Linked DNA regions of Oryzias latipes. The protein of the gene in region 1 binds, or shares a complex with, the protein of each later gene. Links are inferred from orthologs where the notes say so. Each region holds a gene or a part of one and is shown on either strand. Other genes may lie near its edges.

Region 1 (5,561 bases):
AATAACTGTTGAGCAAAGTTTAAGTTGTGAGAAATGCACCAAGGCAACTGAAGAAAAACTGTAAAACAAATAAGTGTGTTGAAAAATATTCTACACTCCCGAATTCACAAGTGGAAATGAAGATTCTTTTTCTGGTGTTTCTTATGATGGTAGGTGACAGTAAGAAGTGTCCTTTGTTTTTGCAATTATCATCAATAGTTTGCAATCTGGTTGACTAGTGAGAGACTGCACTCGGATTGGCTGCTTGGCAGGGGAACGGTTCAGAATGGTCGATGAGTTAAGAAGAATATTGGTGTCAAAAAGTTTGTGACTGTAAATGTGTGTGTTTGTGTTTGTGCTGTTATAAACGTCTGACGGACATAAATAGATTTTTACCAAACCATTATTCTGCAATTGTTTATGTAAAACTTGTTTTCATTTGTGGACCTCGGTATACACCTGTAAACCAGAAATGACTATAACTGGCCCCCCTGTCCCCAAACAGTCCCTTATGTAATGCTAATTTGGCCCTGAGAGTTAATCTCTGGTAACAGAGCTGATAGATTTGCTGCATGTTTATCCACTACTAATGAGCACAAAAGGCAGCAGGCGCTCACATCCGCGTTTGCACACATACAGGTGTGCGTTCAGGTGTGCCTACTTCAGAGAAGGCCAAAGATTGTCCAAAATAGTGGTTTCTCTAGCGGCCTAGAGAAATGTGCAGATGGGAGTCCGCTTCCAGTTTGGTATTCATTGTCCACACCACTGCATTCCAGCAGAGGTGGACCAAAGCAGCTTCTCAAGCCAGATTCCCCCACCTGATAAGGTGAGCGGGACTGCTGCACCGTTCCCACAAGTGTGTGGGGTGAGGTGGGGTGGGGGGTGGAAAACAGAAGGAGAGAGGCAGAACATTAACACAGGACGCAGCGATGGGAAGAAGGATGGATAAATAAATAAGCCTTTACACTCCCTCTGTACAGGAACGACTGAGAGACATTCCTCCAAAGCAGGTTTTGTCTGCAGGTGAGCGCACAGCTGGATATGCAGACGCAGCAGCTGCGTCTGCATATCCAGCTGTGCGCTGGATGGTGCGCAGGTTGCTGTATGAGTCACCTGTGACAGGTGCCTCCGCCAGCTGCAGGCTGACAGCGGAGGAGTAAACTCGCCTCACCTTTCTTGAACTCCTCCAGCATGGTGTCCAGCTTGGTGTCGTTAAAGACAAAATGCAGAGGATGGCTGTAAAACTTGGTGATGGTTTTGAGCGGCGTGCAATCGTCCGGGTCCACAAAGGCCAGGTCCTTGACGAGGAGCAGGTCCACGATGTTGGACTTCTCGCCCTCGAAAACGGGGATGCGCGTGTAGCCGCTCTTCATGATCTCGGACATGGTGTTAAAGTCCAGGGTGGTGTCCCCGGGGATCATGAAGCAATCTCTCAGCGGGGTCATCACGTCCTCCACCGTCTTAGTCCTGAGCTCCAGCGCGCCCTGGATGATGTTCAGCTCCTCCTTCACCAAGTCGTTGTAGGGGTCCGTGACGCGCAGCATCTCCAGGAGTTTCTCCCGGTTGTACACGGTTCCGATCTCCTGTCCGAGAAGGTAGTCCAGCAGCTTGCTCACCGGGTAGGAGGCGGGAAAGGTGAGCAGCATGAAGAACTTGGTGAGGAAGATGGTGTTGGCACCCACAGCCAGGCCGTGTCTGGAGCAGATGGCCTGGGGCACGATCTCCCCGAAAATGACGATGCCGATGGTGGACATGACCACCGCGATGAGGCCGGAGCCGGCGATGTCGTCCAGCAGGATGGTCAGCGTGGTGTTCACCAGCACGTTCCCCAGCAGGAGCGAGCACAGAAGGTAGTTGCCCTGGCTCCGGACCGGCTCGATCTTTTTGGCGTAGTTCTTCTCCCTCTCTGTGCCGCAGTTCTGGACGATCTGGAGCTCCATGGGGTCCAGAGCCATGAGGCCCAGGTTCAAGCCGCTGAACATGCCGGACAGACACAGCAGCATGGAGATGAAGATGACCTGGAGCCAGAAGGGCAACAGGAACTTCTTCTCCTCCACCACGATTACTTTGGTGTCCTCCCCATCGTGGTAGATCCAGGTGTTCTCGGTCCACGGGTCGTGCGTCCCCGCCGCGGCACTCGCGGAGGTGGCGATGCAAAGGTAGTAGGCTTTACTCCTCTCGGTCTTCCGCAGAGGTTTCACGTCGATCTCCAAAATTCCGGAGGTCTTTCGGTTCAGGATGATGTTGGGGAGGATGATGATATCCGAAGTCCTGATCCCGCAGGGATGCGCGCCGGACCAGTCATCCGAGTCCTGCTCATCCCAGGAGGAGCTGTCGTAGGCGCGCGCCGCGCGGCTGCGCTCGTGCTCCGTGAAGGCGATCTTGGACCAGGTCTCGTTGTTGATGTTCTGCCCGTACACCCGCAGGCGGACGCGGGAGCGCTCGCTCACCCGGAGGAAGCCCTTGTCCATGAAGGAAATGTCGTCCGTGTCTTCCAGCCGCAGCCCGATTATGACGGTCTCCTCGGAGCCCTCCGCGCCGCTCGTCGGGGTGCCGCAGCAGCCCGTGACAGTCAAGAGAATCATCGCCAGAGCTCGAACCCGGTTCAGTGACGCCATGTTTGCGGCGGTTTCTGCCTGGGATGACGGATCTGCCATATCGATCAGCAGTAGAAGTCGACCTCCTGAATGAGAGGCGCTGTGGATCAGAGTCCGTCCGAGTCCGCCTTCATCTCCGCGCACGGCGGCCGGGACTGGTGCATCGGGACACGCTCGTTCCCACGACGTGTCCGACACTGAGCTCAGACTTTGGGGCCACTCACGCCTCGCCTGATGTCCCCGAGACAGGCGACGGCGGCGACCAATCAGGGGGCGCAGACGGCCAGGAGGCGGGGCCTGCGCAGCTTCCTCGGCGAATGAAATTCCCAAACAAGTGCACCTCATGTGAAGAAGCCTGGCTGAGTGAGGGGATGACAGACACTTTCACGCTCCGTGACCGCGTGGAGTGACAGAGCTGCGCGCAAACGGTCCTCCAAAAAGCCACAACTGTTTCCTCACAGCAAATGAGCAGATTTGACCGGGCAAAAAGATGCGAGGCAGTTTCTTTTCAGGAACATCATCCTTTAAACTTCAGGGATTCCCTAAATATTTACTCTCAAGTCTGCATTCTTTAAATCTACATTTGTGTCCGTTGATCATAGAGTCAAACATTTGTTTGGCTGCTGGACAGGGGGTAGGGGTGGGGGGTGAAAGTCCTGATTAGATGCAAACTTTTCCAACCTCTGACAAAAAACTTTTTACCCTCCGCTGGTTGATAGATGGAATAAAACCAAAACATTCAATGTTTGAATATTTTTATAGCTACAGACTCACGACGCAGAACATTAGAACTCTATAAAGATGATTTGTGTGCAAAACTTAAATGAAAAAAGGTCAAAAAGACAAGTTTTGATGTGACAATAAGAGCTTTAATGAACTGGCATACATTATTGTCTTTAAGGACATTTCTGAATGAACATGTGATCATTAACCTTTCTATACTGCTTATTAATGTTTTAACTCATTCTTTGGGTTTCCATTTAAAATTATTTCTCATTTTGAAAGATTAGAACTAAAAATAAACCAGTTTCTTCCTTTCTCCTTACAGATTTATAGACTGGAGCACAAAAAAAAGGAAACAGAAAGTCACAGGCAGGACACCGCTTCTGAAAAGGTCCTGTATGCTGACGGAGCGGTGCAGCATTGTCCTTCCCGTGGTCTTCCCAGCATCACTTGCAGCAGTCAGCAGGTCGAGTGCTGCAGCACCCCCCTCCTGTGGCCGAGACGAGGCCCTGCTCGCCGGACTTGAGGGCCAGCTCGAAGGGATCCGCGGCGTTCGCCTGCATCAATAATTCAGCGTTAGGAGCTGAGAGCAGAGATGTTATCTGGCTTTGTGCAGCAAAGTTGAGTGCCATCAGAAATCAAAGCACCGCCCACCATGCTTGACAGCGCAGGATTGTTTTCAGTACTTGTAGCTGCAGTTTTACAGGAACGAATAAAGGTGGTCCTATCAGCTAAGACCCGTGTGGGTTAGGCAGACTTTCTCCTCCTTGATTCCTTCAGGAGGTGGGCATGGTGGTTGGCGGATGGGTGTCAAAGGTAAATAGTAAACTGACTGTAATGAATCACTTCTAAAGTACTTTCCACGCATAAATGCTTCAGCAGAAGCTAAAAGAAGTGGTTATCTATGAGTACGAGAGCTTTGTAAAACAGTCCAGCAATATTGACAAATGTGTACATGTGCCTGTGCACTTCTGACACCAGGAGCTGATAAGATGTCACTGCAAGAGAAGAGAACATTCCTTGCTGCTCAAGGTTCCCAGCATGACTCCAGTCCGATTATGTCTGCAAGCAGCTGCTCAACCCTCCGAGTGTGTGTGTTGCTGTGTGTGAGGCACAGAGCGTGCAGCGCGTGTGCGGCCGTGGGTGTGTCACGCTCTTCCAGCTGGTATCGGAAACACACTCATCTCCACTGTGACAAAGGCGCACAGCAGAATACTTCATTCCTCAGACTGTCTGGGAAACACTGACCTCAGCTGGGACGCTGCGGGGCTCACAGGAGCCCCCTGGTGGCTGGAAAGTGAAGTCGTCTGCAAACCTGGAATGTTTCAGGATGCTGGCCAGCTCCTGGTCCACCTCCACTGGCTCATTGGCCTGCAGATATTACCACCATGTTAAAACATTTGCGTACACAAAACCTGGTTTCTGCAGGACTGACACACAGACCTTAAAGGTGTAGCAACAGTCAAAGTGGAGGACAGTCTCTGACCCTGGAATCCCTCCGTTGTACATCACCCGGCAGGCCTTGGACTGACCCCTGGGGAGCTTGAACAGGCGGTATGTGGCAGAGACAAATCTGAAATCACCTGTGTGACAGAAGCAGATAGGAGAATCAGACCTGATGCTGGTGAGCAGCATTGATGTCTGAGGAAACGTCCTGGATGATCAAAACACTTAAGTGAATCGATGAGAACAAATGATGAAACTAAAGCAGCTGCGTGAGAACATTCCTTCCTGTTCGGGGTTCCCAGCACAGGAGGGTGGGGCTTTGATTTCTGATGGTTTTCTGCAGACTAACAATCATCACAGCTTTGAATGAGGAGTGTGTACAGTGTGCCTCTTCTGGAATCAAAGGAGGCGGTCCTGGAAACTAGTTCCTCACCATTGACCCCCAGCCTCTCCAGGATCCTAAAACAAAAGTCAGTTTGGAGGAAGATGAACCAAACAAACGGCTGAAATAATATGACACCAAATATTTCACATATTGGAATAAAGCTGTGAAAGAAAAAGCTTGGAGCAAGATTCATGAGATTTGCACCGCTTCAACATGTCACACTAAAGGCCCGTACACACCGGGACGAATATTCGCCAGGCGTTATTCGCCAGCGTTTTTCGCTACGTTTTTTGTGTTCACACCCAGGCGATTTTCGCTGACGATGAGCCGAGCGAACATGCAATTTCATTCCCTGACATTAGATGGCGCTTAATGTAAACAGAAATACTCCTGTACACAAGGTGGCGCTGCGCAACTTTACGCTTCTTAAA
Region 2 (5,402 bases), on another chromosome or scaffold:
TGTGCAGCAGACTGAAGAGAAGCACGTCTGTCCCAGAGGCAAGGACTGGAAAACAGGATCAAAGAGTCGCCAGGGCAACCTGCATGACACACATTGTATTAAAGCCACACGGTTAATTTAAAAGTGAGGGAAGAAAGGAGGAGGCAGAGGTAGCACAGAGCCCAGTACTTTTATCAGGAAGTTCTGTCTCACCCCGTTAACTCTCCACTCGAAACTTTCTCCGCTTTGATCGCTTTGTTTCTGTCAGACTTTGGCTCCGTCTGCGTTTTCCTGCAGGTCCTCTTCCTGTCAGGTTTGCTCAGACGCACCTTAATTCACAAATCACAGACTCCAAAGAAAGATTTTCACCAGAGATCGAAAACCTTTCTGTCACCGCTTTACACTTTAAAGATGGTTTTTAACGTTCTTGTGGCATTTTTCTGATGATGGAGGACATATTTAAAAGAAATTGAGCTTAAAATGATGTTTCTAAATATTTCTTTATTTAAATCACTGTGAATCGGAAGCAGACGGCAAAAGAAGAAAAATGTAGTTGTTATTTAGAAGATAGTTGTTCACTTGTCGATGACTAGATCTTGGCTTTCCTCACTGCGGCCGTACGCCTGGATAGCTCCGATTTCAGGCTGGGGGGTGTGAGGGGCTGTAAAGGGATGATGGGACGTGTGGGCAGGCTTGCACCAAAGGTCCAGGTGATTTTCTAATGAACTCCTGCCGCTCTGCAGAAACTAGGTCTTAGGAAATGACATCGTAATAATTAAAAGATCACTGCAAACACTATTAGAAAAGCTCAAAATCCCCCTTTTTAAAAATAAATAAATAAACAAAAAATGCAACATTTCAGGTGATAATAAATGAAGCAACAGTGGAAAAACATTTCTTGTCGACAGATTTATTAGCATTGAAGCCAACATATGCGCTGATCCACTCACTTCTCACATCAGGTACAAAAAGTGATCAAAGTGTTAAAAAACCCGACAAAGTACAGAACAAAAACAGAGAGAGGTCAAAAGTTTTTGGTTTCTTAAATGCACGTTTGGACCGACCATGTGGCACTACGACTGCGACTTTCGGGGAGGGGGTCCACGTGGGGGCACGGCGGCCGAGGTGGCATGGGGGGAGCAGAAATGGGGTTGGGAGCGGATGGATAGGGGGTCCGGCGCGATAAACGGCAGACAGGGAGGGGTCTCCAGACAGTTGGAAGGCATTAGGGTGTCGGACAGACGCTTGTCAGAGGCAGCTGTTCCTGCGGCTGATTGATAGTTTGTGTTTCACCCCGATGAGAAACTGCAGACGCCGGCCTGTGCTGAAGGATCGTGTTCAATTCAAAAAAGAAAGAAAAAAACGTTCATATCTACAGGTAAAAGAGCAAAAGACGAGCACGGCCTCAACACTTCAATGTCTCCGTGGCTTTCTGTCAATCGTTAACATTTGGTCTGTGATTTTGAAAGAAATTCATATGACAGATGAATGCACAACATGTATTTATATATATAAAACGTTAATCTATGAGGTTCACATAAAATATAAGCTAAGTTTTACATTTAAAGCCCTCAGACTTTTCCAAATGAACCCATAAAGTCACTTTGCACTTAAGTCTCACAACTAGTAGCGCGTCCTTGTGCTGCACAGGAAGCTGCACAGCACAGGACGCGTCTCTATGTACATAATACTCCATCACATACTCAGCTACACTATTCAGATTAGATTTTTCGACGTAGTGTAACACACTGGCGTGTAACTACAAGGCTGCGCACTTCAGTGGGTGGATCTCTGTGGACAGAGGCTCTCAGTCCTACAGCACTTCTCAGGGGAAAACATCAACCGAGTTCACCAAACATCCTGCAAAGGTAGGTGTGTGTTCGGGTGTTGGTGTCTGATCCGATCACGTTGGCACAAACAGTGGTGAACCACTTTACAATTAAAAAAAGTTTGTTTTTTTGCTAAAACCTGCTGTCTGCCTCGTTTGCAGTCGTCATTATTCCTGCGAACTCCTCTACTGAGAAACGAGACTGCAAACAGTCTACAATACACACATCTCAGCGAGAGGCCAACAGCTGTTGTTTTTGCTAGTATGTACATGTTTGTGTTTCTGCGTGTGGTGTGTGTGTGTGGGCAGCAGCAGGATGTGGTGTTTGTAAGCCACTAATGTCTGCTAACATTAGCATCATATCCTTGCAGGCTCTGTGTCTTTGTCCTCCAACAGGTTAATGAACTGAGCGAAGCTCTCCTTCACCGCCACCAGGTTGTCGGTGCTGCTGCCTTCCAGGATCCAGCGCTTCCCCCGGGCCAGCGGCTCCAGCTCAAAGTACTTTTTAATCTGCAGAAAAACGGAGGGACAAAGATGCAAAAGCGGTCAGAAGAAGGATTTTAGACTATGAAGTCTAATTCCTCCCAAACGTCCTCATTTCACGAGCCATGGATGCGCAGTTAAAAACTTTTGCACAACGGCGTTTTAGGAGGTTTAAAAAAAACAAAAGAAAATTATTCAAAACAAAAGCATCTGTGTTACAGCTGAGCGCAGCATTCCTGCATAGCTTTAGTAGAAGTAGCTTAGAATAAATGCATTTTAATTCGGCGCCGTTCCTGAGTGCTCGTCGGCGCGAACACGAAGTTTGGAAGTGCCGCTCACGCCAGGTGAGCAGCCAATCAACCGCCGGCGCTTCAAAAACCTCCTCTCCATCACTTTTAAGTTATTGTCACTTCATTTTGGCCAATTAGGAAAAATCTGGTCCATTTTTGCAACTTTGGCTTGAAAGTGGAGTAAACAAATAAATAAAAGGAACAAAGTCAAATAACGAAGACTAAAGTCATTTTCATATGAAAATGATCTGGCTTTGCCTCTGATTCGGACCAGCTGATTCCAAAGCTCATATGTTGGCTTTGGCAGCTCTTGACAGAGGGGCGCTGTGACATTTGGAGGGAAAGCAGAACCAGCTGTTAAGTAGAAACAAATCTCAGCAGAGAGGAACACTGCCAAAGACCTCCACTGATGGATCCTGCAGGTTGTTATGGGTTCTGACATTCTCCATCTTCAAATAACGGAATCAATATTTTTGCTTAATGTGAACGGGGTCCGGCGATTCTAAATTTCAGAGCCAGACCCACGACGACAGAAATGTAGAAAAAATAAAGAACGGGAAAAATACGACAACGTTTCCTTTACGATGACATTGCCACAAAATGAATGATAAAATCTGAGAGTTTTCAGTAATTTGAGATCATTTCAGTGTCATCGGCAGCAGGGCTGGACGGCAAAGACCCCTTTGTTTTTGCGATTCTACTGTCTTACTGCGTGTATTAATGAAAATTTGACGCCCACCAAATACTCAACAACACTTTAAAATGTGCACACACCCAGTGAAAAAGAATTTTTGACACGGTGAACCAACCCCCCAAAAAATGATGACATCACAGCCGGAGAAACTGTCAGAAAAGGAGTGGGGCCAAAGGATTGGCCAGGTGTGAAATGATCACAGTTTTGCACAATAAGGGAATAGAAACCCTTTCTTTGAGCGATCTTCACATAATTCCACACAAATGCCGCCAGCTTAAGTCTTCAACCACTACCTTTGACCTCGGGAAGAGGCGGACATCGGAAATTTTCTTTAAAAAACAAACCAAAATCGTCTTTGGTACCAGCTCCAAATTTAAAGTCCTCCTGGGGATTTCAATCTATCGCCTCTCAACTCCTCGAGCATCATTGGGAAGCTGCTGCTTAGTATTAGAAGTTCAAGATATTTATCGGCGCTGGCGTGGCGAGCTTGCAAAAGTGGCGTTCCCCTGTAGCTTGCGCGTTGTTACTGGAATATTTTGAAAATGTCATACATGAATTCCTGGCTCAAGCTGAATGAAACAATATGATATACAGTATGAGCATATTAGGAATGTGGTCAACAGAAAAACCTCAGTTGCCACGGAAATCCCAAACTTTACCTTTGCTGTTTCTTCTAAAAATTACATACACCTGTGTCTCACCCCCAGGCCAACGGTTGCTATGGCGATAATTAAAAAGCAACCATTTTGAATAAAGTGTTGTTTTAATGAGAGTGGAAGGAGAATGAGGGGCATAAAGCAGCCTCTCAGCCAGTGAAGGCGGGTCACGCGTGTGTATATTTTCATAATAAAAGCCTGCAATCTGTCTCTGGCTTTCATGACACAGCTCTGTGCGATTGAACAAGTTCAGAATGACAGAGTCAAAATGCACAGCAACAGACTGAAGATTTGTGGAGACGGGTAACAGTGATGAATCCACGATGATGCCCGTCACGCAGCTAAATGACTTAGCTGTGTGACGGGACTTAGCTGTCCTTTCCGTGCCACGGTGTGTGGCACAAACGGGAGGAGAGGGGGAGTTTTCTCAAAGTCTGCTTAAACCCAGCCAGCCATGCCAGTGGAAGAGTGAGCGCAGCGTCTGTCCCCCCAGATCAGAGTCTCTGTCCGGGTGTAATGTGAGTTTAATGACAGATTAAGTCACCTCAGCCGCGTTTGGCCTGGCTAGAAAGCTGAGTGGACCCAAACAGTGTTAACAAATCTGTCTGGGTAACTTGAGCTGCCCTAGACCAGGCTCTGGCCGCAGACCTAGACTGCAGATGATGGGGCTTGTCTGCCCTGTCTGGCTTTTTTTCCCCCTCTGCCTATAGCTGTGGCCCTCTTCTGGAAGTGGCTGGCCCCTGCACTGGCAGACAGTCAAAAGGCCAAGAGTGACCTCTGTTCATGTGCAGACAGGCTCAGGCTTCTCATGCTTCCTCTCGCGGCTTCATGGCACAGATCGCAGCCAGCAGCACGTCACCCTGACAAGTCTTTTGCTCGTTACAAACGCACTCATAAAACTGCCAGCCCGAGATATCGAATAATCCTCCGTTCGCGCGCTAGTTAATTGATCCAAACACCTTCACACGGGCTACGTTTCAATGACGAGGCGCAACCAATCCAGAGATTTACAATTCTGCAACAGACGGCTAAGGCATGCTGACAAAAACACTCACTCAGTGTTATGTGACTGAAGGAACCCCGTGACCTTACAGGCGGGTGTATCCACGCTGCCAGTCAACAAGTGTGTCCCAAACCAGTTTCCCTGAGATTAAGTCGTCCTAAGCGCACTTATGCTTGCTTAAGGAATTGCGTGAGGCAGTGGGAACGGTAAGCCACACAAGACTTGGATTGCCAGATGGCTTCTTGGACGTCCACTGGGTCATTCCGTCTAGCTTCTTGTAGGTCATGCAGACTGGGGGCCTCTTCCTGCACATGGGAGAAAGCGGCTTATGCATGTGTGGGTCCGTCAAAAAATCTGTTATCATTCGGTCTGACTAGATTCCCACTGCTGGAGTCCATAAAACACCCGTTTGTCCTCTTGCTCTTTGAGAAACAGAGCAAACGTGGAATATCATAACAAGCCTGACGGG

Evidence for each region.
Region 2: the proteins of cnnm2 (region 1) and arl15 are in contact, whole or in part, in a crystal structure (PDB 8F6D), measured with the Homo sapiens proteins. The link is inferred for Oryzias latipes from reciprocal best matches to the Homo sapiens genes CNNM2 and ARL15. Residues at the interface, in NP_060119.3 of Homo sapiens: Asn490, Val492, Pro521, Leu522, His523, Phe524, Val525, Phe526, Thr529, Glu537, Lys542, Ser543, Gln549; in NP_061960.1 of Homo sapiens: Tyr92, Ser94, Arg95, Gln98, Gln128, His129, Pro130, Gln131, Cys133.

Annotation. Positions count from the first base shown.
Region 1 is NC_019859.2:29,482,695-29,488,255, reverse strand, and holds the start of cnnm2 (metal transporter CNNM2), read right to left. Parts: upstream 3,324-5,561; 5' UTR 2,922-3,323; coding exon 1,151-2,921; intron 1-1,150. Other genes in the region: as3mt (arsenite methyltransferase), read right to left, coding at 3,746-3,856, 4,548-4,670, 4,743-4,882.
Region 2 is NC_019867.2:5,699,642-5,705,043, reverse strand, and holds the end of arl15 (ADP-ribosylation factor-like protein 15), read right to left. Parts: intron 2,318-5,402; coding exon 2,165-2,317; 3' UTR 870-2,164; downstream 1-869.